Schizosaccharomyces pombe: one gene and its partners. Changing the gene in region 2 together with the main gene of any one other region gives a genetic interaction. Each region holds a gene or a part of one and is shown on either strand. Other genes may lie near its edges. The genes, in order: atg4, vps1 and atg2.

Region 1 (6,182 bases), 2.9 Mb from region 2:
CGAATGAGATGGGTTTTCTATCTGTAGAAAAAAGACACATCCTTCGTTTTGAAATTCGCTAAAAGCAATAACGAATTTAGGAAGCAACTCGTTATTATTAGTAACCAGGTTTCCTAATTTTTTTAACAAAAACAGGCATTGAAATACTTCTTGTACGAAATTGTAAACTTGACTAAACAGAAGTAAGTTTTTCTTAATTTTTTACTATTTTCTAGCTTTTAAAACATATTTATAGCAGCAAACAACCAGAAAGATCTTCGTCCTCACTCTATTTGTAGTTAAGCGAGCCCTCATTTATGACGTGATAATAGCAGCTAAATATTGAGGTATTATTAGACAAGTGATAATGTTTATCAATGTTACGAGGAACTTAAAGAAAAAAGTGGTATTCTACTCTTTAATATATCATTATTATTAATAAAGATTTATAAATTCAGGTGAAAAAGGTTTTAAGTATTCTATCGTTACGAATGAACCGTATTACTAAAATTTTTGCCCATATTTACTCTTTAGTTTAACTGATATACTAAAATAGAGAAAAGGCTCGATCAGAATACCCGTAATAAAAAAAAAAGAATATGCTTTAATTTATTATTACTTAAATAACTTTAAGCTAAGTAGCTCAGGAAAGGGCATTTGAGAAGATCACAATATTTATCTCAGGTAAGCAAAAGCAAAGAAATGAGAAATTCTGAGATTGCTGTCCAATCATCTTAGTAATGCACATTGTATAATATAAGTTTTTGAAATTTACTCACAGGGAAGAACATCAGATGAAAAGAAAAGCGTAACAAAGAGACATTAAAAACAAGAACAAAATCCTCACGAAATATAACACATAAACATCCATTTCAAATACGCACATTTAATAAAAAATCAAACAGACTCATTGTTTAACAGTTTTCAAAGATAAAGCATGAAATTAACAATAAGGAGACCGGTTGAATAGAAGGGAAACACTGACCAAATAATAGCACAAGCACAACTAAACGCTTAACGATTAAAAAAATATCCCTTTAGCCGATTTGGGATGGAGAAGGAATTCAAGAAACCGGGATAATAAATTTCCTTGAAAAACGTTGGATAAATAATTATTCATTAAGTTACTAAACCCAAAGCGTAAATGCTACTAGGGTCAGTTCATAATTACATATGTCATAAATGCGAAGTCGTTAGTATTATAATTTCAAATTTATAAATAAAACTTGAAACAGTAGTAAACAATGGATTAAAGATGATCTTCAACATTCTCATCCAAAACGAAATCATCATGTGTCTCGACTGGTTGAGGTTCGGAGTCGAAAATCTGAACTATGTCGGCAAAATATTTTTGATTCGCTTCAAATGAATGCCATTCTTCTTCATCTCGAATTAAGAACCCAAAGATCATACAGGGATCAAGATCTTGTATTGCTACTCTTCGTAAAGTAGCACTATGAAAAGTTTCCTCGGAAGCAGGCTGGGTGGTAGTGTGAGCAAAGTGAGTACAATGAGGATCCAGATAAAAAAAGTACTGATTTTGTCTTGCATAAAAGTAATGAGCAGACCTTGGACGACCTCCAGTGATGCCAACAAATGAACGAATTTCAAACACCTGAAGCAACTGATCGTAGTATGATTCATTAATTGAATCAATTCCTAAACGGGTAGGAATTAAAAGTAAAACAGGAAAGGAGACCTTTGAAAGTTGATCTCGGTATATAGCATTTCCATTCCTGGCAACATAAACGTGTAATGGGACGTCCGGGTTCTGATCACTTAATCGACTTTAACAAAAAGTTAGTAAATGTCATACTGACTGAATTCCAAAAAAAAAATAAAACGTTCAAAATTTTTCTTCTTTTTTTTAAAAAGGATAAAAAAGAACGGAAGAAATTCGAACTATGTGAAGAGATCAATTGTTCTTTTATCGACCAGAAAACTCAATTTAAATAACAAGAAACACTTACGCAACACAAGAACAAGATGTTGTAGGTCCAAACCATTGCCCTGGATTAATATCGCACAAAGTTTTGCCCATTGTAACAAATTGATGGATAGAAAAAGGGGCTGAAGGCTCATCAGCAAATAGTGCCAATATTTCTTTCAATTGTTTTTCAGGATAGCAGATTCGTAAACAATTTGCTAATAGTGTCTGAGTGGATCGAATCATACAACCCCAACCGGTGTCAGATGTCATATTTTCAAGCCCTTCAATACCACTACGATAAGTGATTGTAATAAGAGAGAATGAGTCGTATAAAAATTTTTCAGGCCATTGGCTATCTTCAATTTTGTAAGAATGTCCTAAAAACCAAATTAATGTCCCTGGAGGCTCGGTGTTTGTCGGTGCAAAATGTAAATATCGCTCTAGAAAGCGAGCCATAAGCTCCATTCCCCTTTTTGAAATTTTTTTCTATTACCTTTATTTTTTCTCAAAATATTTAAACCAAACTTCACGTCGTCAGATGTTCACATGAAAGCGTACATACACCCCCTTTAGACTAAGCAAAGGCTAACTTGATTAATATAGTGTTTGGGATAAGATATGGTGGGAGTGAAGTCATGTTTGCGAGTACTACTATGGTCTGCTAAATAACTTTACAAACACCTTAGTATTCGTAAATGATTTTGTGGAATTGTTTCAAATATTTTAATTAACTTTAATATGTCAGCAATACTACACTACGCTATGATACACTACGTTGCGTATCACTATATGTCATATGTTGGAATACTAGCTAAGATCCGTTTATTGATAATCACGGGTAACTATCCGTCTATATACATAGATACCCGTTGATAACAACTATTTAGAAATATTATAAATAGCGTTACAACTGAACCTCGTTCCTCAGTTCAGTTATGAGCTATATTAGTGATAGGTAACATTATAATCCAGTTAATACAATACCTATACTCAGTTGCTACTTATACAACCTGTGTATTGTAATATAATAGACCACAAGGAAAACTCACCGCAGTTCTACGTATCCTTAAATCAGATACCAAACTGCGTAGCTTACATAATATTACGTTAAACTACGATAAGTACTTACGACCTGCTTTATTATACGAAAAGTAAATAATGTGATACAATAACTGGAGCAACGCAAAAATCTCCGTAGTAAATGAAGTTCAGGCTTGCTCCATCACCGAGCAAACGAATAAATGAACAGTTTTGAGTCTAGAGACAAAAATATTATCGATTGATATTTGTTCAAAATAAAGGACATGAATTAGTAGCTTTCCATGCGATATATGTTTTCATTTTAAAGATATTACCAACAATTACAGTTTAAAAAAGATACAGAATCCACATAAGAGTGATATCTTTTAAATGTGCTTTTTAAAAGTAGAAATGCTCGATAGTAGTCAGTACTATAAATATTTTTTAGAGAACTCGTTTTAATTATCCTTTTTTGTTACTACATTATTCTCATAATTTTAAAGTTGATTAACGCAATGTGTAATTTTAGCCTCACTGCTGGATAACTTGGCCTATTCTATGCATATCCATACGATATTATCGGTGATCTAAGGAAGAAGGGACTAAAACTAAAGAAGTAAATTATTATTTATTGAATTCCGCATTACTTAGACTTGAAACTGTTTAATATATCTTAAAAGAATAAAAATTAAGACACTTGGTCATTGGGCAACTTCAATGAATTTCAAGAACACCGACTAGAATGAGTTCCGACGATGCTATAATAATTCGATGCCCTTTTGATTGTGAATTTGCTGGTGACTCGATTTCTTTTATAAGCCACCTTACAACTATACACAATTCGTCAGTACAGACGTTAGCTAAGAATGCTTATTTATGCGCATCAGAGATTGCCAATGAGCTCAACCAGAATCCAAATTTGAAAGACCAAGAAATACTTTTACTACAAATTGCTCAAGAAAATTCACTTAAACGAGTCTTAAGGCAACAGCAAAAAGAACGGAGAGAGGGAAAAATAAAATCCTTACAATGTTTGTTCTGTAATAATGAAGGTCTTTTAAACCGTCAAGAATGGTTTGAACATAGTTTTCACGTTCACGGGCTTAATATCGGATTAGCAGACAATATTGTTTACATAAATCGGTTACTTGAAAAGATAAAGAATGAACTAGAAAGGTAATCATATTTATCAGTTTTATTTGTGTTATTACTTCTTTCCGTCATATTCTAACATCGTTTGATAAGTTTTAGATGTCTATGCTGTCATGTCCCTTGCAAAAATAAAAAGCTTTTACGAGAACACATGAATAACAAGCGGCATTTCCGGCTTGACCCAAAATCGTCAGAATACGATGAGTTCTATATTATAAATTATGCTTCTGTTACAAAAAGTATCACCATTTCGCATTCACAGTTTGCAATTAATGAAGACATAAATGAAACTGATGATACTATATCTGAGTATGTATTCAAATATTCCTTTTTTTTTAACATTTTACAGTATAAATGATGAGGATGCAGAACCATTATCTGTGGAATGTATATTTTGCACTAATTTCTATGAACCAGTTTTTTGTTTTGAACATTGCAAAATCGTTCACGATTGGGATATCAAGAAAATTCAAAAGGATTACAGCTTGGACGTTTATGGGGCCATAAGGGTGATAAATTATTCCCGGAAAACTAAAAAGAAGTCTATTCCAGCTGAAACAGATAGTTTTTGGAAAGAGCCTGGATGGTTGATTCCTGTAGTGCCAGACGATGCTTTAATAATTTGCTTAAGTGAGGTGATTGAGGACCCTCGACTTTAGTTTGATGTTTCCTAACATTATCCTCTTGTTATGTATTTAAATAAATCACTTAACAATTTAAGGCATAGTTTCCTGAAGTCTCGTAAAGACATTAATAAGAGGGAAAGATATTTAAAAAAACGGTTATAATATAGATAACACCTACACTGGTCGCTGAGAAAGATTTGAATGTGAAGTTGAAGACACGAATTATTTATTTGACTTAATGTATGTATAAAAGGTTCTACCTAGTTTTATTGTTTTAGGCTGTCTTTATATATTTAACGGAATTATTTGTCTGTATTTTCATAAAAATGAACACCCTGTTTACTGTTTGCTAGATTTGCTTTATATAATTCTACTTACAATGAATCTTATTTCAATTAATCATAATAATTATATTTGCTGTTTACTTCACTCGATTGCGATTATTTGCAAAACTGTGATTAATTACTACCTTTATCTTTAGCAGATGGAAATTCTTAATAGTCATTGTATGTAAAATTATATAAAACTCAATATTTTCCCTTGAAAAATAATTGGTTAGTCGAACTTGTATTGCGATTGACTTTCATATACACCTTGGCTGGTATAACCAGCGCTTACTTTACCTTGCTATAAACCAACAAAGTCAATATTCCTAAAACTTTTTTAAAAAGGGAATATTTTAGACGAATTATTACCGAGAGAAGGTAAAAGGTGTAACTTAATTAATAAATAGCATGGCCATTGAACTAGGAGAACGTATTTCGACATCGGTCGGATTTTTAGCGGAACTTTTCCTTATGAAAATTCCACTCTTCACTGTGATTGTTGCCCTGTTAACTATCATTCTTGGAATCGTAAACATTTTCTTGCCTATCGTTGACTTTTTTGGCCTAAGCTGGCATAATTTAATAAACATTCGCCGTATGTTAGAATAAATATATATTCCTGAAACAAACTGACAAAGTACGCAGTTCATACCCTAAACACATATCCGCTCGTTCATCATGGAGTAATTTCTTTCATTTTAGGACTTTTAGGAATTTTTCTTCTTATGCCACGTTTTGAACGCAGATACGGAACATTATGTACAATCGCCATGTTTTTTGGATTTTTGGAAGTAATTCCTGCCATTGCATACTTAATAGCTTGCTATGTTGCTGAGTCTGACGATGTCTATGTTGGTATTGGGTATGTTTTTTGTCTCTCATAAATGATATTAAATTGTTTGAAAATTTATATCTAACTTTTTCACCTTAAAATTCTTTTCTTGGATATACATGCTAATGTTTTTAGTGGTTGGGTTTATTCGCTTCTGGCTATGTATCTCTTGAATCTTTTTGGAGATTTGCATCCCAAACTGTATGACTGTACTTATTCAACGTTATAATTAACAATATTTTAGTTTGAATCTTCCTCAAGTCGTAAGGATGGCATTAGCTTTAGTAGCTCCTGTCTTAGGACTTCCGTTAGATTTT
Region 2 (7,194 bases):
CTTTTTAATATTAGCTTGGGGTATCTTTCACAATAGTATGTAAAGACATAGCTTTGGAGTTTTTCAAATGACTTAATACCAATCACGCATTTTCTAAATATGAATAAGATCAGGTTTTTTGGAAAAACATTTTCCTCTATTAATTTCTGCAACTCCTTTGAAGCCTTAAGTTTATTATCTTTTACGAAAGAAGTTAGACCAATCGATTCTAAACTTTTGTAATTTTCGATGAATTTTCTGCTGCTAGTCGAGGCAGAGGAAACCGTATGTTTTGAAGAGTCTAATACGTGATTGTTTGATGACGAAAAATTTGAACTGGTGTCTGCTTCTTCCAGAAGCTTTCGAAGAGCGACTCCTATGGCTTTGTGTTTATTAATTTCTTCGATAGTAAAGTTAGTCAGCCTCTCTTCTTCTTTGAGGTCAGATTTTAAAATAAAGGTATTGTTTTTAGTGTTCTTGGTTTCTGAAACAGCTTCCGATTCCTTCAATAAGTCAACATTTGGTAATTGAAGGTTATATTTAAGTGTTGAAAATTTTGACATATCAATTTCCCGTCCTATTTCATAAAGTTTTTCTAACATATCAAAAGTTGAGTTTTTCTGAAATTCCATTAAAGAATAGTTGACACATTTTAATAAATTAAGGGGAGTAAAATCATCGAAGTCTTTATTCAATTTCACAATTCCTTCATTGTATACCAAAAAAGTATTAAAAATATTATGTTCAAGGAGAAACGATAAACAATCAGTAATTTTTAACTCTTCTATAGAAGAATTCACCTCCCTTGTGTTTTTACCCAAAATTAAAGTCATGACAGCATCTAATGAAAGCATTTCAGTTTTATCCTTTAGATGATTAATGATAAGTTGCAAGGGTGTAACTAATATAGCAACACAGTACCAGCGGAGCGAAGAATTCAAGGAAACTTCCTTAGAGAATGTTGAATTTGCTATATCCTCAATCAATAATGACTTAAGTATCTCAAATTTTTTATAAAAAAGCTCAACATTTTCATTCACCCAATGGTCAATAGTCTTTTGCAATACGGAATAAAGCCAGCAGTTCTCTGAAAAACATAGTATATATATATCACCAGCAGAACAGTTATCTTGATTGTATCTCGGTATCATGTTAATTGATAATTGCGTTAATATTTTCCTGGTACCTATAGCTTGAAGGGTACTGGTAATTGATTTTCCTAAAGGGTGCGAAGAGTCAAAAACTTTGAGCCATAAGTTTTCAATCTCCTCCAACGAAATCCAACGCCTTGCTAAATTTTTATATACAAATGCTACTTGTAAAGGCTCCAGGAGCAAATCAACAAGTAGCATATTTATCTCATGGTTGAAATAGCTATCTATATGCTCAAAAATGTCGAACATCCGTGATAAATATTTTCTTTCCCTAATAATATTTTTCCTGGCGATGAGAGCTGTGTTAGAAACAGATTCCTTTTTGGCTTCGGTTATTGGTATTGTAGTTAATTTTTCTTCCGCATGGTTTGAAGTTATCATTTTTCCTAGCTTACTGATCCTATTAATTGCATGTTTTTGAGCTTTTATGCCGTATGATTTAAACTTTGAATCAACTAGTTGGCGCAAAGCAATAAACAAATCAGTAGTATCAATATCGGCCTTTCTGTTTACTAAAGCGACCTCCTTCCTTTTCATAGTCTTCTTAAAGGAGAAGACATGTCCTAAACATTCGGACTCAAGTATTCTAATCCAACCTCCAAAGAGTTTGACAACTTCCAATCCACCGTTACCAACCTCGAGAGTTAATTTTTGATCTTGAAATGAATGATCAATAACTGCAAGATCCACACTAATTTTAGATACTTTCAATAGTTTAATGAGATTCTGGACTGGTACCAGAAGCAACTTGGCTCCCAAATTCACTCGATCTTCGGTGACAAGATTGTTGTCTTCTTTCGAATTGATGGCACAATTAGAAAGTACTACTTTAAAATTATCACTTTCGCTATCATGAAAAAATGATCGATTTTCTAAGTGGTTTTTATGTCCTTTGAATGTGAGGAAGCTAACATCGTCATCCAGTGAACAAGGGACATCAGTTGGAAAAAGAATCGACGGGTCTTTGGACCTTTTGCAGCATGATAACAGTGCACGTTCTATTTCTTCCCACTCTGCAGCGCTTTTTTGAGATTTTCTAGCTAATAAATAATTAATCAATTTTGGAAGTAAGATTGGTACCGGCAAATTATTTAATGATGTATCAACTAGTCTGATCTTCTTGTTATGGTAATGAAAAGCATGGCACAATTGGTTGGAGCTCAGAAGTGCTTTCAATCCCCCAGCTAGAGAAACAGCCAACTTATTAGGGGTAGAAATTTTCCTCAAATTGTCAGTTTCATCTTGGAATATTAGTAGATTAGCCTCTTTAATTGAAATTTCTTTGCTCTTGGCCTTTGCGTAAGCAAACAAAATTTGTACAGGTTTTAACAATAATTTGGCAAATAGCATTTCACGAGTGATATTTTTAAATAAAAAAGTAAAAATTCTTTTTAGGCTTTGCTTTTAATTAAGGATCACAGAATAAATAAAGGGTATGCCGCTTTTAAACGATTGAAACATTAATTAACGAAACCTTTGAAAGAATAAATAATTTGTCGAATTTTCTTCAACGAGCACATTAAGACAGTTTTGTTTTATTGACTTAAAAAAGACATGTATACTAAATTTATGTTGAAGACATTGAGTAAGTAGTGCATTGGTATGGTTATGGAGTAAGTGATCCTAGGAGGAGTACCAATCTTCCAGTCTCTTATTAAACGCTCGCTAGAGCATGAAGCAACCTATGCGTCGTAGCATTTGCTTAAAAATTTGGGTTTTACATGTATGCCGTTCATGTATAAACCTAACAGTATGCCGAATACAGAGAAGTTGGATTTTATAGTTAACCCAAATTTGCATCCTGTTTAGTAACAAATTTGTAAAAATTGTAATTTTATTGACAAAAAATTATTTACAAGATATCAAAGATATTGATTTGGCATTTGTATACGATAGAGGTGTCAAGAAACGAAGCAAAATGTGTAAGATTTTGACAAACTACTCCACGAGTTATACAACCATTTATTTTGATAACTAACTTTTGGAATGCTAGTATTATTTAGTTTTGGAGTCAAGAACCAAGACTTCATATGTTTCTCTATTTGTAAGTTTGCATATGGTATATTAATATGCTTTGATAAAAATTAGAGATATTATCCACTATGAAATTCGCTTCCATTTATTGCTAAAAAGGTCCCAATTGTTATTGGTTTTTTTCCAACAAAAAGCATAAATTGTTTGACGCTAAGGTGATTGCTAAAATTTGTCCAATGGCATGTGCAAATTGAACACACTTGTCGACTTCTAATCAGCAGCAAAACAGAGAATAATTAGCAAAAATTGCTGTTTCTATAAAGTCCATTCCCTTTTCCTACTGAACTAAAACTCGTTTTTGAATAAACTAGCGTATTGAGCACTGTCAGCTACGCGTAATGTAACCAATTTTTAAAACTGTGGTGGTAGTTTTATTTGAAATATACAATATTACGGTACGCAGCAAAACGCGTACTATATTATAAAGATTCTCGTAAATAGGTACTATTTTTACTTATCAGCAGAATAGCTTATAATTGTACTGAAAAACAAGGTTAAAGCAGTTTCCGTTAATTTTTTCAGTACTCAAGTATCAATGGGTAACTTTGTATTAAGATAAATAGCATTTCGCAATTATCATTAAAAGGATCTTTCCTGTTATTCCAACACAGGGCATATAGTGATACGCAACGTAGTAAAACGCAATATTAGTATATTATCGTTCGTTAAATATGGAATGATGCATCGCTTTAATATTACTTATCGAGGGTTAAACATTAGATTTATTGTCTAAAGTCTGACAACAACGTTTCAAGGGCATCACTGTTTCTTTTTTGGTAAATCAATTAGCAACACGATATTGTTAAGCCACCTTCAAGCAGCCTTACTGAAATCCGATTAGCGAGGTACTAATTTTATTCGACATATCCGAGTAAACACTACACTACCACAGCACATACCATCAGGTTTGTAACCGCCCATTCGTAAAATTGTCTATTTAGTGGATCCATAGTTGATAATGGATCCCTCATTGATTAAAGTTGTCAATCAACTTCAGGAGGCTTTCTCCACAGTTGGCGTTCAAAACTTGATTGACTTACCACAGATTACTGTATGTTGTGAATTTTAACTTAGATTGAAAAATTCACTAATAAATTGTTAGGTCGTACGGTCACAGTCAAGCGGTAAATCATCGGTTTTAGAAAATATTGTTGGGAGAGATTTCCTTCCTAGAGGAACCGGCATTGTAACAAGGCGTCCTTTGGTTCTGCAGTTAATTAATAGACCTAGCGCTAGTGGAAAAAATGAAGAAACAACTACTGATTCAGATGGAAAGGACCAGAATAATTCATCTGAATGGGGAGAATTCCTCCATCTTCCCGGACAAAAGTTCTTTGAGTTTGAAAAGATTCGTGAAGAAATCGTTAGAGAAACAGAAGAAAAAACAGGAAAGAATGTTGGCATTTCTTCGGTTCCTATCTATCTTCGTATTTACTCTCCTCATGTGCTTACTCTGACACTAGTAGATTTACCTGGTCTTACAAAGGTACCGGTTGGTGACCAACCTCGAGATATTGAAAAGCAAATTCGTGAAATGGTTTTGAAGTATATATCTAAAAACAATGCCATTATATTGGCTGTAAACGCTGCCAATACTGATTTGGCAAACTCAGATGGTCTCAAACTTGCTAGAGAAGTTGACCCCGAAGGTCTTCGCACTATCGGTGTATTGACCAAGGTTGATTTAATGGATAAAGGTACGGATGTGGTAGATATTCTAGCTGGACGTGTTATTCCATTGAGACTTGGGTATGTTCCAGTCATAAATCGCGGTCAAAAGGACATCGAAGGGAAGAAGTCTATTCGTATAGCTCTTGAGGCAGAAAGGAACTTTTTTGAAACGCATCCTTCCTATGGTTCTAAAGCGCAATACTGCGGTACTCCATTTCTAGCTCGTAAACTAAATATGATATTGATGCACCATATTCGGAACACCCTTCCCGAAATTAAAGTTCGTATTAACGCTGCTTTAGCCAAATATCAGGCCGAACTACATTCTTTGGGGGACACTCCTGTTGGCGACAACTCCAGTATTGTACTAAATTTAATTACTGACTTTTGCAACGAATATCGCACAGTTGTGGACGGCCGTAGTGAAGAGCTTTCTGCTACGGAGCTTTCAGGAGGAGCTCGTATTGCGTTCGTATTTCATGAAATTTTTTCGAATGGTATTCAAGCAATTGATCCATTTGATGAAGTTAAGGATTCGGATATTCGCACCATTTTGTACAATTCATCTGGCCCTTCTCCTAGTTTATTTATGGGTACTGCTGCATTTGAAGTTATTGTCAAGCAACAAATTAAGCGTTTGGAGGATCCTTCCTTGAAGTGTGTTTCCCTCATTTACGACGAACTTGTCCGTATTTTAAATCAATTGCTTCAACGTCCCATATTTAAACGTTATCCTCTTTTGAAAGATGAATTTTACAAGGTTGTTATTGGTTTCTTTAGAAAATGTATGCAACCCACTAATACCCTTGTAATGGATATGGTTGCCATGGAAGGTTCTTATATAAACACTGTTCATCCAGACTTTTTATCTGGACATCAAGCAATGGCGATTGTTCAAAGTCAGAATAGTAAGCCGATACCCGTTGACCCTAAAACTGGAAAAGCACTTACAAATAACCCCGTTCCTCCAGTTGAAACTTCATCATCTTCGGGACAGAATTTCTTTGGAAGCTTTTTTGGTTCTAAGAATAAAAAGCGACTTGCAGCTATGGAGCCTCCTCCACCGGTTTTAAGAGCTTCTACTACTCTCTCAGACCGCGAAAAGACTGATACTGAAGTTATTAAACTACTTATTATGTCCTATTTCAACATTGTTAAAAGGACATTGGCCGATATGGTACCTAAATCCATTTCTTTGAAAATGATAAAATACTCTAAAGAGCACATTCAGCACGAGTTGCTTGAGCAGCTTTACAAGTCTCAGGCGTTCGATAAATTACTCCAGGAAAGCGAAGTGACAGTGCAACGTCGTAAAGAATGCGAACAAATGGTAGAATCTCTCCTACAGGCAAGTGAGATTGTGTCTAACGTTTAATGATATAATGATAACAAACTGCTAAAATAACGAGGTTAAGTTACCTTATGAGATGATCTCATATCGATGAATGTCTTAATTGCTTTAAAGATCCTTGTTTTTTATTTTTCGTCACGCACTTTTCATCGCATATATTCTTGTCTTTACATGAACAATCATGTGAAGTTGCTCGCTTAAAATCGAAACTTTCGTTAAATCGATACTTATGTTTTCCTAGGGTTGTAGTGTCTTTAAATAAAGATTTCCCGAATGTAGCGTTAGGAAGACTCAATGAAGTTTTTATAAAAGTTTTTCAGTTACATTTAGATTATATTTAACGCCGATATGGTGTTATCTCAAGTTGGTTATTTTTTTTTATTAAATAACTACTCTATCAATACTACTTTATTCCCATATTTCCTGAATTACAAAATTGCAAGTGCACTCTAAAATCTCCTTAAAAAATAGGACAATTGAGTACGCAGTGTTATGCTAAATAAATACTGTAGTCTAACGTTTTTTAAAAGAAAACCACATTTGAAGTGTCGGCGTTTTATTCGTACACTGATGAGAAAATTCAGTTCAAAATACAATGACTAGTGCTGACATTCGGGATGTCTTTGAATTACCTCCTCCTGAAATAGGAAATAAGCAGAAATCTAAAACTCCAACAGAGAGAAGGCCAGAAGGAATTTCTCGAGAACTTTATTCATTGCTAGGCGAGAATTCTGCCCCGTTAGCAATATACCAAAAGAAATTTAAGGAAAAACCAAAAGTTAGTCACAAAGCTAAAAATTGGTGAGTAAATCAGAGCTCAAATAAATAAATTTGTGTATTCAGTAAGGAATTTACTAATTTGTAGGGTACGCCAGCCCTTTTCCATATCAAGCCGTAAGGATGATTTTACTTTGCATCATTGGGTCCTTAAATCAGAAGTAGATTCTGAAGCCTGTATGTTTGAAATTTTATTTGATAAGCGCTTGGTTAAACTAACCTAAACTG
Region 3 (9,776 bases), on a different chromosome or scaffold from region 2:
CTGTTCTTTGGCATTGAGAATCTGCTACTAAATGAATAAATGAATGTGGTATTCACAGCAACCCGTGTATAAAGTTAGCAAGCCATTGAATGCTGCCTTCAAACATCATAAATCCGTAATAAAAAGCATTCAGCATTAAACAACAGTTACTTTTTTTAATAGATCATAATCATAATAATATACAACTTTTAAGGCAAACAAGCGTCTCGTATGAACAGAATGGTCGTATAATTTCACATAATTGAAGAGACGATCCATAGACCACAACAAAGTTACATCGTACTTTAATTACTCGCAGCTTTTACATATGAGCAAAACGCATCTCATCTAATTTTTCGACGCTAAGCGTTGAATGATACATAGAATAGCGTGCAATCTCCGTAAAAATTGTGATGCCACAGACCAAGGTACGAATATTTAAGAAGGCGTAGAAAAAACTCGTATGCTGAGACCAACCAAGCACGGTAATCAAAGCTGTAACTCCAATATTCAGTATAAATAGAAACTTCCATTTGTTAGGAGTCTTAGGATTAAACAGACCAACCTCTAACGGTAAAAAGTACATCACATATGCACAGTAGAAAAGACTCAACAGCTCCACTAACTTAAAAGCCCAATATTCAGGATACAAAAACAGCGGTACTATTAAAAGCAAGTAGAGGAACGAAAAGATAATAGAAAACATTCGATTATCCCGATTGTTAGTCAAACGTAGTTGTTCAACGAAAGCATCTTGATCTACGAAATAGATATGTTAGAGAGTACATTATGTTATTAAAAAGCATATACATAGAAACTCAAACTCCTATATTTAACCTTACAAAATTAGCATACCTTGTTCATTCAAGAAAACCGGCTCGAAATCATCATCATCATTGTTAGTAAAGCGAACAACCCTTTTTCGTAATTGTTCCATTATTCATCTTTTCTATTTGGGTAAATAGCCGACAAATTGTGTTTACTATATTTGCCCCAGGACTAGCAAGGTGGAACTAGGTAAAGACAAACGATACTGGTAGCGGTAACCAGTATAGTGCGTAGCAAAATCGAACACACTGCCCAAAATGAGATTCAAATAATCATATCAAGTAGAGTGTTCGAACACAAAGAGTAAAAAAGTCCTTCGTCTTTTACCTTAGGGATTTTCAATACTTTCTAGGCATATAAATTTCAACCAGGCCGTTTGTATTTCTATAGAATTGTTAGCGTTGATCGTTTTATAAGGAAAGATAACTCAGGCTGTTGATGTCAATAAACTTACTTCTCGCATATCCTGTCTTCTCTGTGGTTGCAGCGAATTCGATAAGCCTAATAGCGTTTTAGAAACAGCCTCAGTGGCTCCAATCATGGGCTGTAGAACAATTAATGGCACTTTTCTACCTACTGTTTGAGCAACACCACCAAGGGATTTATGGCTGCGGGTCTCTCGAGGAAGACCCATCAAAGTGGATTTGGCACCGAGTAATCCCTGTTTCAAACCAGAATAACCTTGTCTCAACCCTTGCTCTATTGTTTCAGGTTGTTCAGCGTAATAACTTCTGGCTCTGGACGCAGATGCAGAAGCATTGCTTCCTCTTTCTAAATAACTTTCGGCTTGACGAAGAAGAGAATGCGTACCGGTAGCACCTTGCGCATTTAAAGACAGAAAGTCGTTCACGTACTTTTCAGTAAATTTAATTATACCATGCCGGAAACTACCGACTGAATGGTTTCCTTGCAAGCCCCGAACTGGACTTACAAAAATGTCTTTAATGCCTCTTCCTACAGTAAACATTGTTCGAATCGGCACTACACCATTCAGAACTTTTGAGAGTTGATTGTTTCGGATATCTTGCAACCAAACGTTAAGAAGGGCATTAAGGAATTCTTCTGCACCAGAAAGTCCATAAATTTGTAATTGACGCAAGAAAACCTCCGAACCTTGCATAACAATCAAGCTGCCTAAATCAGGAAGCTTTCCGCTTCTCAATCCTACCTTATCAGCTGATTTGAATTTAAAATCGATAGTTACATGAGTAGCATTTATGCAGATGGATTGAAAAAACGGTAGATCAGGTTCGGTGTTTAACGTTTCAGAGGAACTAGGAGTTTGAAAAGTAAGAAAACGTATTAAAAAATCCAAAGTATCTTGGTCAATATACATTTTACAAGGCAGAACGCTAAATTCCAACCTCAATTCTCTGTTATTTAGTTCAGGTAACGGTCGCACAGTAACAATTTGAGCATTCATGTGCTGATTACGATTCTTGGAAGACGGAGATCTGGAATCTCGTCCAAAAAATTTATTCCAGGTTGAGGTTGATAGATGGTCATATATAATTAAGTCCTTCAGACCAATATCTAAATCGTTCAGTACTGCGTTAGGTTCATTACTGTCAGCATATACAGTAAAAGAGCCCTGTAAATCTTTAATTTCTATTCCAATCTTTTTGCTTTTTGACTTCCCCAAGCGTAAATGGTACGAAATAGATTTCGATAAATAATCAGCAAATTCATCAGAATCGATTGGTTCAGATACATGATTGATATTTAATCTTCCCACTTTCGAAAAAGACTTGATGACTATGCTTTGAAACAATAAGGTTTTCGCTTCAGGAGAAATTTTATCATTTTGACTAGAAGAATCGCATAGTTTTTCGATAGCTGAGCTGATAGTTGCTCGAGTAGCTTCCCAATCATAACCATCATGCAAATCCCAGTTCACGTTGATATCTTTAAATTTTACTTTTAAGAGATAATTTTTTCCTTCTACAGAAGATTCAAGCTTTGAAGTGCTTTGACTTAAGTAATAATCCTCAATAAGCTCTATACCCTTTTTTAAGGAGTCTCGGGAACTCGATTCATCTTGAAGTTCATCGGAAATATCGATAATTGATGACGAACCATCATCTATTACAAATTCCTCGGACGAAACAGATGCCAAATCACTGGCATGAGTGGAGTGTTCGTTTGAAGAAATATAATAATCGTCTACGATTTTAATTTCTTGCGAAGATATATCATTGTCAGAAGATACTAGCACCGTACTCTGTTCAGTAGGATTGGACTTGTAATCTATGCCACGATTTTCAAAAAAGTTGTAGTCAACTTCGGTCAAGGATTTTGCATAGTCTTCAATAGGGAGAGCCAAATAGCAATCCGATATTTCTTCATCTTCAGTTGATCCTAAATCAGACAAAACTTTAATCAACAACTCGGTGCTATCCGCACAAGATTGTACTTGTGCATCGAGGTTATCAACAGTTATCAAGGTAGAAAAAACCCCTTCCTCAGCATTGACAACTAATGACAATGTCAAATTTTTTAGCTGAGATATTTCAACATAACCCAAAGATTTAACAACAAATTCGATAGTATCTTTTATCGAGAGTCCAGGGAAATGGAGGGAAGAGTTAAGAATTTCACGTTTTAACACAGAAGTCTTTCCTTCCAAAACGCTTTGGTTCAATTTGTCAATAATGTATACTACCGTTTCAGCTGCCATGATACGAATGTTTAATGGATTTGAAGCGACAAGTGCATCAATTTCAACATCAAGTGACTTCAAATATAGTAATAACTTCGCCTCAAGCGTCCTAGGATTCAGACCTATTATTGACTCTCTAAGGTCCAACTTAATATTAAATGGAAAATCAGGAAATGCTAAGAATGGAACTTCAGGATCCTGAGGAAAGTAGGTTTTTAATAAATCCGAAATCCAAGGGCATGTAGGGTAGTGCTCATATCCAAGATCAGTTATTTTGACAAATATGGTATTATCATTAGATCCTGATGATCTTTTAAGGGCATAGCTAAAATCAGCATTTAATAAATACTTTTCATCATTTCTTAAGTTCCTTATAAAAGAAACGACTGGTAAAATTTCTAAAGACTCAGATAAGTATTCCGCAGAAACATTATAAAGTCGTAAACTCAATGAAATTAATTGTGCACCAGCCCAACACATGTAATGCTTAATTCGAATGCATTTGAGAGCAAAAGAGCTGCCATCATCATTTAATAAAGATAACGAGAATGTTCTGGTGCGGATTTTTAATACGTTTTTGTAATCTGAAGTCACCAACTTATTAGGTGTAACTGGAGTTACCAAAGAGGAAGCAATAGTTTCATATAAAGTTTTGAAAAGTCGAACGACCTCCTTGCTAATGAAAACATTAAAGTTATCGACTGCAAAATAAAAATGCTTTTCTGGATAGGAAAACTCGGTTGGCGCAGGCTGAAATACTGGATAGTAATGCTTTTCCTGCTGTATAGAAACTGCAAAATTGGAAGTCCCGGTAGTGTCATGAGTTTCAAATAAACTATTAGAAAGGTGAAAAGCAGTAGATGATGACACCTTGGTCCAATCAGAATTTTCACAATTGAATAACTCTGACTGGCATCCGATTTTTTTTACAAATATCAATACAGATGAAAGAGACCCTGTAGATTTTCTTGTAAATTGCAAGTGAGATACTCTCAAAGTAAGTTTGTATAATGATTGAGTTGAAAGTTCATTCAATATTTGAAGTTGAAGCTCATCAAAGAGTGCAATAATCTCAAAACTCGGTTGATTCATTTCCACCTCAAAGGGTTTGGGCGCCTCAAAGGTTTCTTGAATTGACCGTTTAAATGGATCTGAATTTGACAGGAAATTTTGCAGATTGGATATATCATTAGTAAACTCCACGAACGATTCTTGAAGTAATAAGGCCTTTCCAAGAGGTAAAGAAATTTCTCCCCCAGGAATGTGTATGAATAAGGACACTATTCGTTCAAGCTTTTTAAAAATCAGCGAGCATGGTGATTGCAGACTTTTACCAAAAGACACCAGTGTAACAGAATCCATAAAAATATCTAAATCAGAGAAAGTCATCGTTAGTTCATCAATATCATTATTGTCATTAAAGATTTGAATTTGATTAATTTTCATTTCAAAAACAGCTCCATTTGAGGGGATGGTATGTAGCAATTCATCAACATCATTATGCATAGAAAAATCCTGAGATTCGGGGAGTTTACAGTGGGTAAGGATTTGTACAGAAGATATGTGGATATCAAGTTGTAACATAGTAAGAGGCGGTTTATTTGAAGAAAATCCAGGGGTGGAAGGAGCAGGTAAAAAATACCCGTAGAGATATAACAGAAACGCAATGACTTGTGAGTTAATATTAAGAACACATGAAGGGACGTGAGACTCAATAACCAATAAGTTAGAGGACTCAATACTGAAAACAAGCCTAAATTCGCCAGAACATTGAAAAATTAACCAGCTAGTCCTTGTTTTTTTCTGAGTAACAGAATCGTGGACAGAGTAAAATGATTCTTCTTCTCTATTTGAGCTTATTATTGATGATTCATTTAGTGTGACCTGTGATGGCGATAGATCATTCTCAAAGCCCTCTACTATACTAGAAGAGGAATCCATCGATACAAATGACTCTTCAGATCGAGGAGGAGAAGATGATCCTGCGTTACTCTTGCTTATGGGCCGAACCATGGATACTGTTATGCCATTAATATTGAGTAATCGAGATGTAGAGTTACTTTTAACCGACGAAAAGCTCATAAAATCTAGTTTTGCTTCCAACCTAGTAGACATATTTGCAGTCCCTATGTAAACTAAAGCGTCTTGCATAAGGACAGAGGTAGATGCCAAACATTTTTGCAATATACTATCCAATAAATTATGTGAAGAGCCATCAATTTCAGATTCTAATCCCTCGTTGATCACCTCATCTTCAAAGTCTTGCGATGCTGTTTTATTCATATATTCAACAACATTATCCAATATATCAAGCTGTGATGGAGCATCCTCATATGTAGTTGAGCTTAAGGATTCATCAGGAGGTACTAGTTCAATTTCCAAACTTAAGCCATTGACTTCTAATTCAACGTTTAAATTTACAATATCAGTAACATTCAGTCTTAAAATTAATCTCCTCAACGTTCCTTTAGTAAAATTAATCATTGGAAGAGACACCACTGCATTCAGAAAGGAACAATTTAGCTGTAAATTGGACAACATTAGGACCCCTTTTGAAAAAAGGATGTCTATATCCTCAGGCTGCACATTTTCTAAAAGAATGGATCCAATAAGCTTTCTCAAGGCAAATGCTAATAGTCGACGTTGAACAGTCCTTGATAACGCCGCCGTCCAGAGCCAAGAGGAAGAATTTTTAAGCCATGAGGGTAACCTCATCATCCTCCTTTGCTTAATTGAATTTCGGGTTCAAATTTGTGTCTATCTCACACTTATTTGCCTCATTCAGATTTTGGTAGTGGGACGACAAATATGCGACGATAGCGTTGATGTACACGAAATAAAAACAATAATGCCAACATCTTGTGACAATCTAATGAATGGAAAATTTACTCATTGAAGACCAAACGTTAATGACAAGAAAAATTACTTAAGGCGAGTCGGTCACATGAATCAACTGTTCAATAAACATGTATAAACTGACTTTGAAACAGCACAAGATATAATGATACAAAAACAATTTAGAGCAACGCGGCTGTTTAATCTCGTATAATTTTTCTTTTGCATTAATTAAATGATGAAAAGCGACAACCGATTTTAAAACCTTTAATTTTGATAAGCCTTTATTATTTGTTTCTATATAGAAACTACAACTAATATGTTTTAGATTAACCTTTAGTCAGAATAAAATCATATAATTTGGTTTTAAGACTAACCAGTGAGGACTGCATCAAGGTGATGAATAATAAAGCCTGAACATACTAAGTGCTTGAAAATTAACCAAGATACAGGATTTTCGAAAAAAAAAACTGAAATGAAAAGTAACGATGAAAGCTTTTAAACGAATGGTATAGACTCGAGTACTTCATGGCAGAGAAGCAAACCCCTTTTGTGCCATAAGAATAAGAAACCAGCGGAAAGCTAATAATCATTAGTCAAAAAATTAATAAAATACAGGAATTTTTTAAATACATATAGCATTGGAATTTTGTATTCACAAAATAATAGTAAAGCTCCTTAAGTAATTTTAAACTTAGCACAAAGATATGCAACTTGTTACCGCAAAACGTATCATTTATACATTCCTTAGCAGATAATTGCTCTTTGTTCTAACAAGACCTTTACGGCGACGATACCATTTGCGAATTTCGTCAACCCAGAGAACAGAACTGGTACAAGCTAACAATATTAGAACATCTTTAAGTCCAATAGCTTCAGTTTGAAAAATACGCTGAAAGGGGGAAGCATAAACTACCAAGGCTTGACCAATTAATGAGCCTCCGACTGCGATATTGAACATTCTATTAGAGAAAATACCAAGCTTGAAAACCGATTTTGTTTCGGAACGACATGCTAAAGCATTAAACATATCGAAGAAAACAAAACAAGTAAAAGTCATAGTAGTATCTCTAGCTGTTACATTGCCGTCTTGCATTTGTACTCTAAATACCACAATAGTGACAGTAACTATTATAAATGCACTGAGTAAAACACGTTGTAAAAGCTGAACTGATATAATAGGAGCATTCCTTGGACGAGGAGGTTTCATCATCACGTCTTCATCAACTGACTCTACTCCGAGACTTTGTGCAGGGGGTCCATCCATTAGAATATTGATCCAAAGAATTTGCATGGCATTGAGGGGATTTTGGAAGCCGAAAACAGACGAAATGGCGATTAATGAAAGAGCAGCCACACTCGTAGACAATTGGAAAGTAATGAAATTTTTAATGTTATTGAATATTCCCTTACCTTCCTCAACAGCACTCAAAATAGTCGCAAAAGAATCATCGGTAAGAATCATATCAGCCGCTTCTTTGGCAACATCCGTACCTTGTCGACCCATTGCTATACCAATGTCTGCAAGTTTGAGGGCAGGTGCATCGTTTACGCCATCACCAGTCATAGCCACAACATCACCAAGGCTTTGAAGGGCTTCAACAATTTTCATTTTATGTTGAGGTGTAGTTCTTGCAAAGACTACTACACGGGAAACGGCATCACGTAAAGAGGAAGAATCAAGATCATCTAACTGAGCTCCAGTCAGCGCATAGTTACGAATTGCTTCTTCGTCATTACTAGGAATAGCCATACCCAAACTTCTAGCGATGCTTATTGCAGTAACAACGCTATCACCTGTAATCATAATAACTCGAACCCCTCCAGTCATTAGATATTGTACACTTTCGCGGACTTGGGGTCGAGGGGGATCGTTGATGCCAAAAAGACCATGAAATACAAGTTTATTGGTATTTATACCACTGGCAACAGCTATAATTCTGAGTCCCGAAGCAGCCATTTCAAACTCGTTACGTTGAATGTTCTCCTTCATTTCCGCAGTAAGCTCGTGTTGAACACCATCCTGATCGCTAAAATATGCACAACTTGACAGCACTTGTTCAGTGGCTCCCTTCATGAAATTCATTTTGCTAGAGTTGTATTGGACAGCAACAGACATGTATTTGCGCTCACTGCTAAATGAAACCTCAGATATACGACTGTACGTTTCACGAGGATCCTTCAACCCGAATCGCTCAGAACATTCGATTAAAGCGACATCAACTGGAAATCCAGCCCAGGGACAAGTAGTGTCCAAAATAGAATCAGCTTTGTTATGAACTTTACTATTGTTGCATAAAGCAGCAGCTAGAAGTGCCTTTTCGATACCAACAGTGCGCCTAACACTTAGCTCTATATGTTCACTTTCTGGTAAGGAGAAAGCTGCTAACATTCCACATGTATAAATTTTAGTAACTGTCATATGGTTCATTGTTAGAGTACCAGTCTTGTCCGAACAAATAACGTTAACACTTCCCAAAGTTTCAACACTGGGTAACCGACGGATAATAGCCCTCTTCTTAGACATGCGTAACACGCCTAAAGCAAGGGTGACTGTTACGATAATTGGAAGACCTTCAGGAATAGCGGCGACAGCCAAACTAACTCCAATTGTAAGCATTTCTAACCAATTTTTACCTTGGAAAAAACCAACAAGCACAATGACGGCAATACCAATTAAAGAGATTAAAGAGAGTTGCTTGCCTAAGTCATCCATACTGTTCTGCAATGGCGTCTTTGGTTTTTCAGTTTGCTGCATAGTAAGGAAAACACGACCGAATTCCGTATCAGATCCAGTAGCGACAACTATTCCTCTCCCATGACCATGACGAACGAGGGTACCCATAAAAGCTATGTTATTTCTTTCAGTAAGAGATATGTTTGAAGATATAGCTTCGCTACTCTTCTTTCGTGGCGAGTTTTCCCCTGTTAGATTTGATTCATCAATTTCCAACTCGGTAGCTTCAACGATTCGCAGATCAGCAGGAACACGATCACCAATTTGTAAGATAACTAAATCTCCAGGAACCAATTTACTAGCAACAATATGCTCCGTTTTTCCGGACCGGATAACATTGCAATAATGAGGTACAAGGTTATTCAGCGCCTTTAAAGATTGCTCAGATCGATACTCTTGAACAAATCCAACAGTCACGACAATAACTATAGCTAAAGCGATGCTAATAGCATCATCTATATTACCCAATGTCACCGAAATTGCAGAACTTGCAAAAAGCAAAAGAATTAGGGGATCTTTAACAAATTGCTTAAGAAATTGAACCACCATGTTTTCTTCATCTTCTACCTTCAAATCATTATCTCCATGAACCTTGTTACGTCGCGTGATCTCCTGGAGACTAGAGAGGCCATTATACATGTCAGTTTCTAAATCCGCACAAGTTTGCTCAACACTGAATGCATCATATTGAACACTCATTATGGAACTGTTTCATACAAAAACAAAAACGAGAAAAAG

Evidence for each region.
Region 1: mutations in vps1 (region 2) and atg4 impair growth when combined (synthetic growth defect), as found in Schizosaccharomyces pombe (one study listed by BioGRID).
Region 3: mutations in vps1 (region 2) and atg2 impair growth when combined (synthetic growth defect), as found in Schizosaccharomyces pombe (one study listed by BioGRID).

The regions. Positions count from the first base shown.
Region 1 is NC_003424.3:4,894,333-4,900,514, reverse strand, and holds atg4 (Atg8 deconjugator Atg4), read right to left. Parts: upstream 2,496-6,182; 5' UTR 2,375-2,495; coding exon 1,950-2,374; intron 1,767-1,949; coding exon 1,229-1,766; 3' UTR 503-1,228; downstream 1-502. Other genes in the region: SPOM_SPAC19B12.07C (zinc finger protein), read left to right, coding at 3,672-4,105, 4,175-4,390, 4,431-4,740; rbd4 (rhomboid family protease ), read left to right, coding at 5,442-5,628, 5,679-5,895, 6,001-6,066, 6,110-6,182. UniProt on the Schizosaccharomyces pombe protein: Cysteine protease that plays a key role in cytoplasm to vacuole transport (Cvt) and autophagy by mediating both proteolytic activation and delipidation of atg8.
Region 2 is NC_003424.3:1,996,274-2,003,467, reverse strand, and holds vps1 (dynamin family protein Vps1), read left to right. Parts: upstream 1-4,052; 5' UTR 4,053-4,125; coding exon 4,126-4,218; exon of another isoform or gene 4,219-4,269; coding exon 4,270-6,213; 3' UTR 6,214-6,694; downstream 6,695-7,194. Other genes in the region: poly(A) polymerase Cid16, read right to left, coding at 1-2,483; Swr1 complex/NuA4 histone acetyltransferase complex subunit Swc4, read left to right, coding at 6,785-6,990, 7,055-7,143.
Region 3 is NC_003423.3:233,333-243,108, forward strand, and holds atg2 (autophagy-associated protein Atg2), read right to left. Parts: upstream 6,268-9,776; 5' UTR 6,182-6,267; coding exon 1,262-6,181; exon of another isoform or gene 1,192-1,261; coding exon 1,171-1,191; 3' UTR 1,145-1,170; downstream 1-1,144. Other genes in the region: SPOM_SPBC660.17C (uncharacterized protein), read right to left, coding at 302-738, 835-916; P-type calcium transport ATPase Pmr1, read right to left, coding at 7,038-9,737.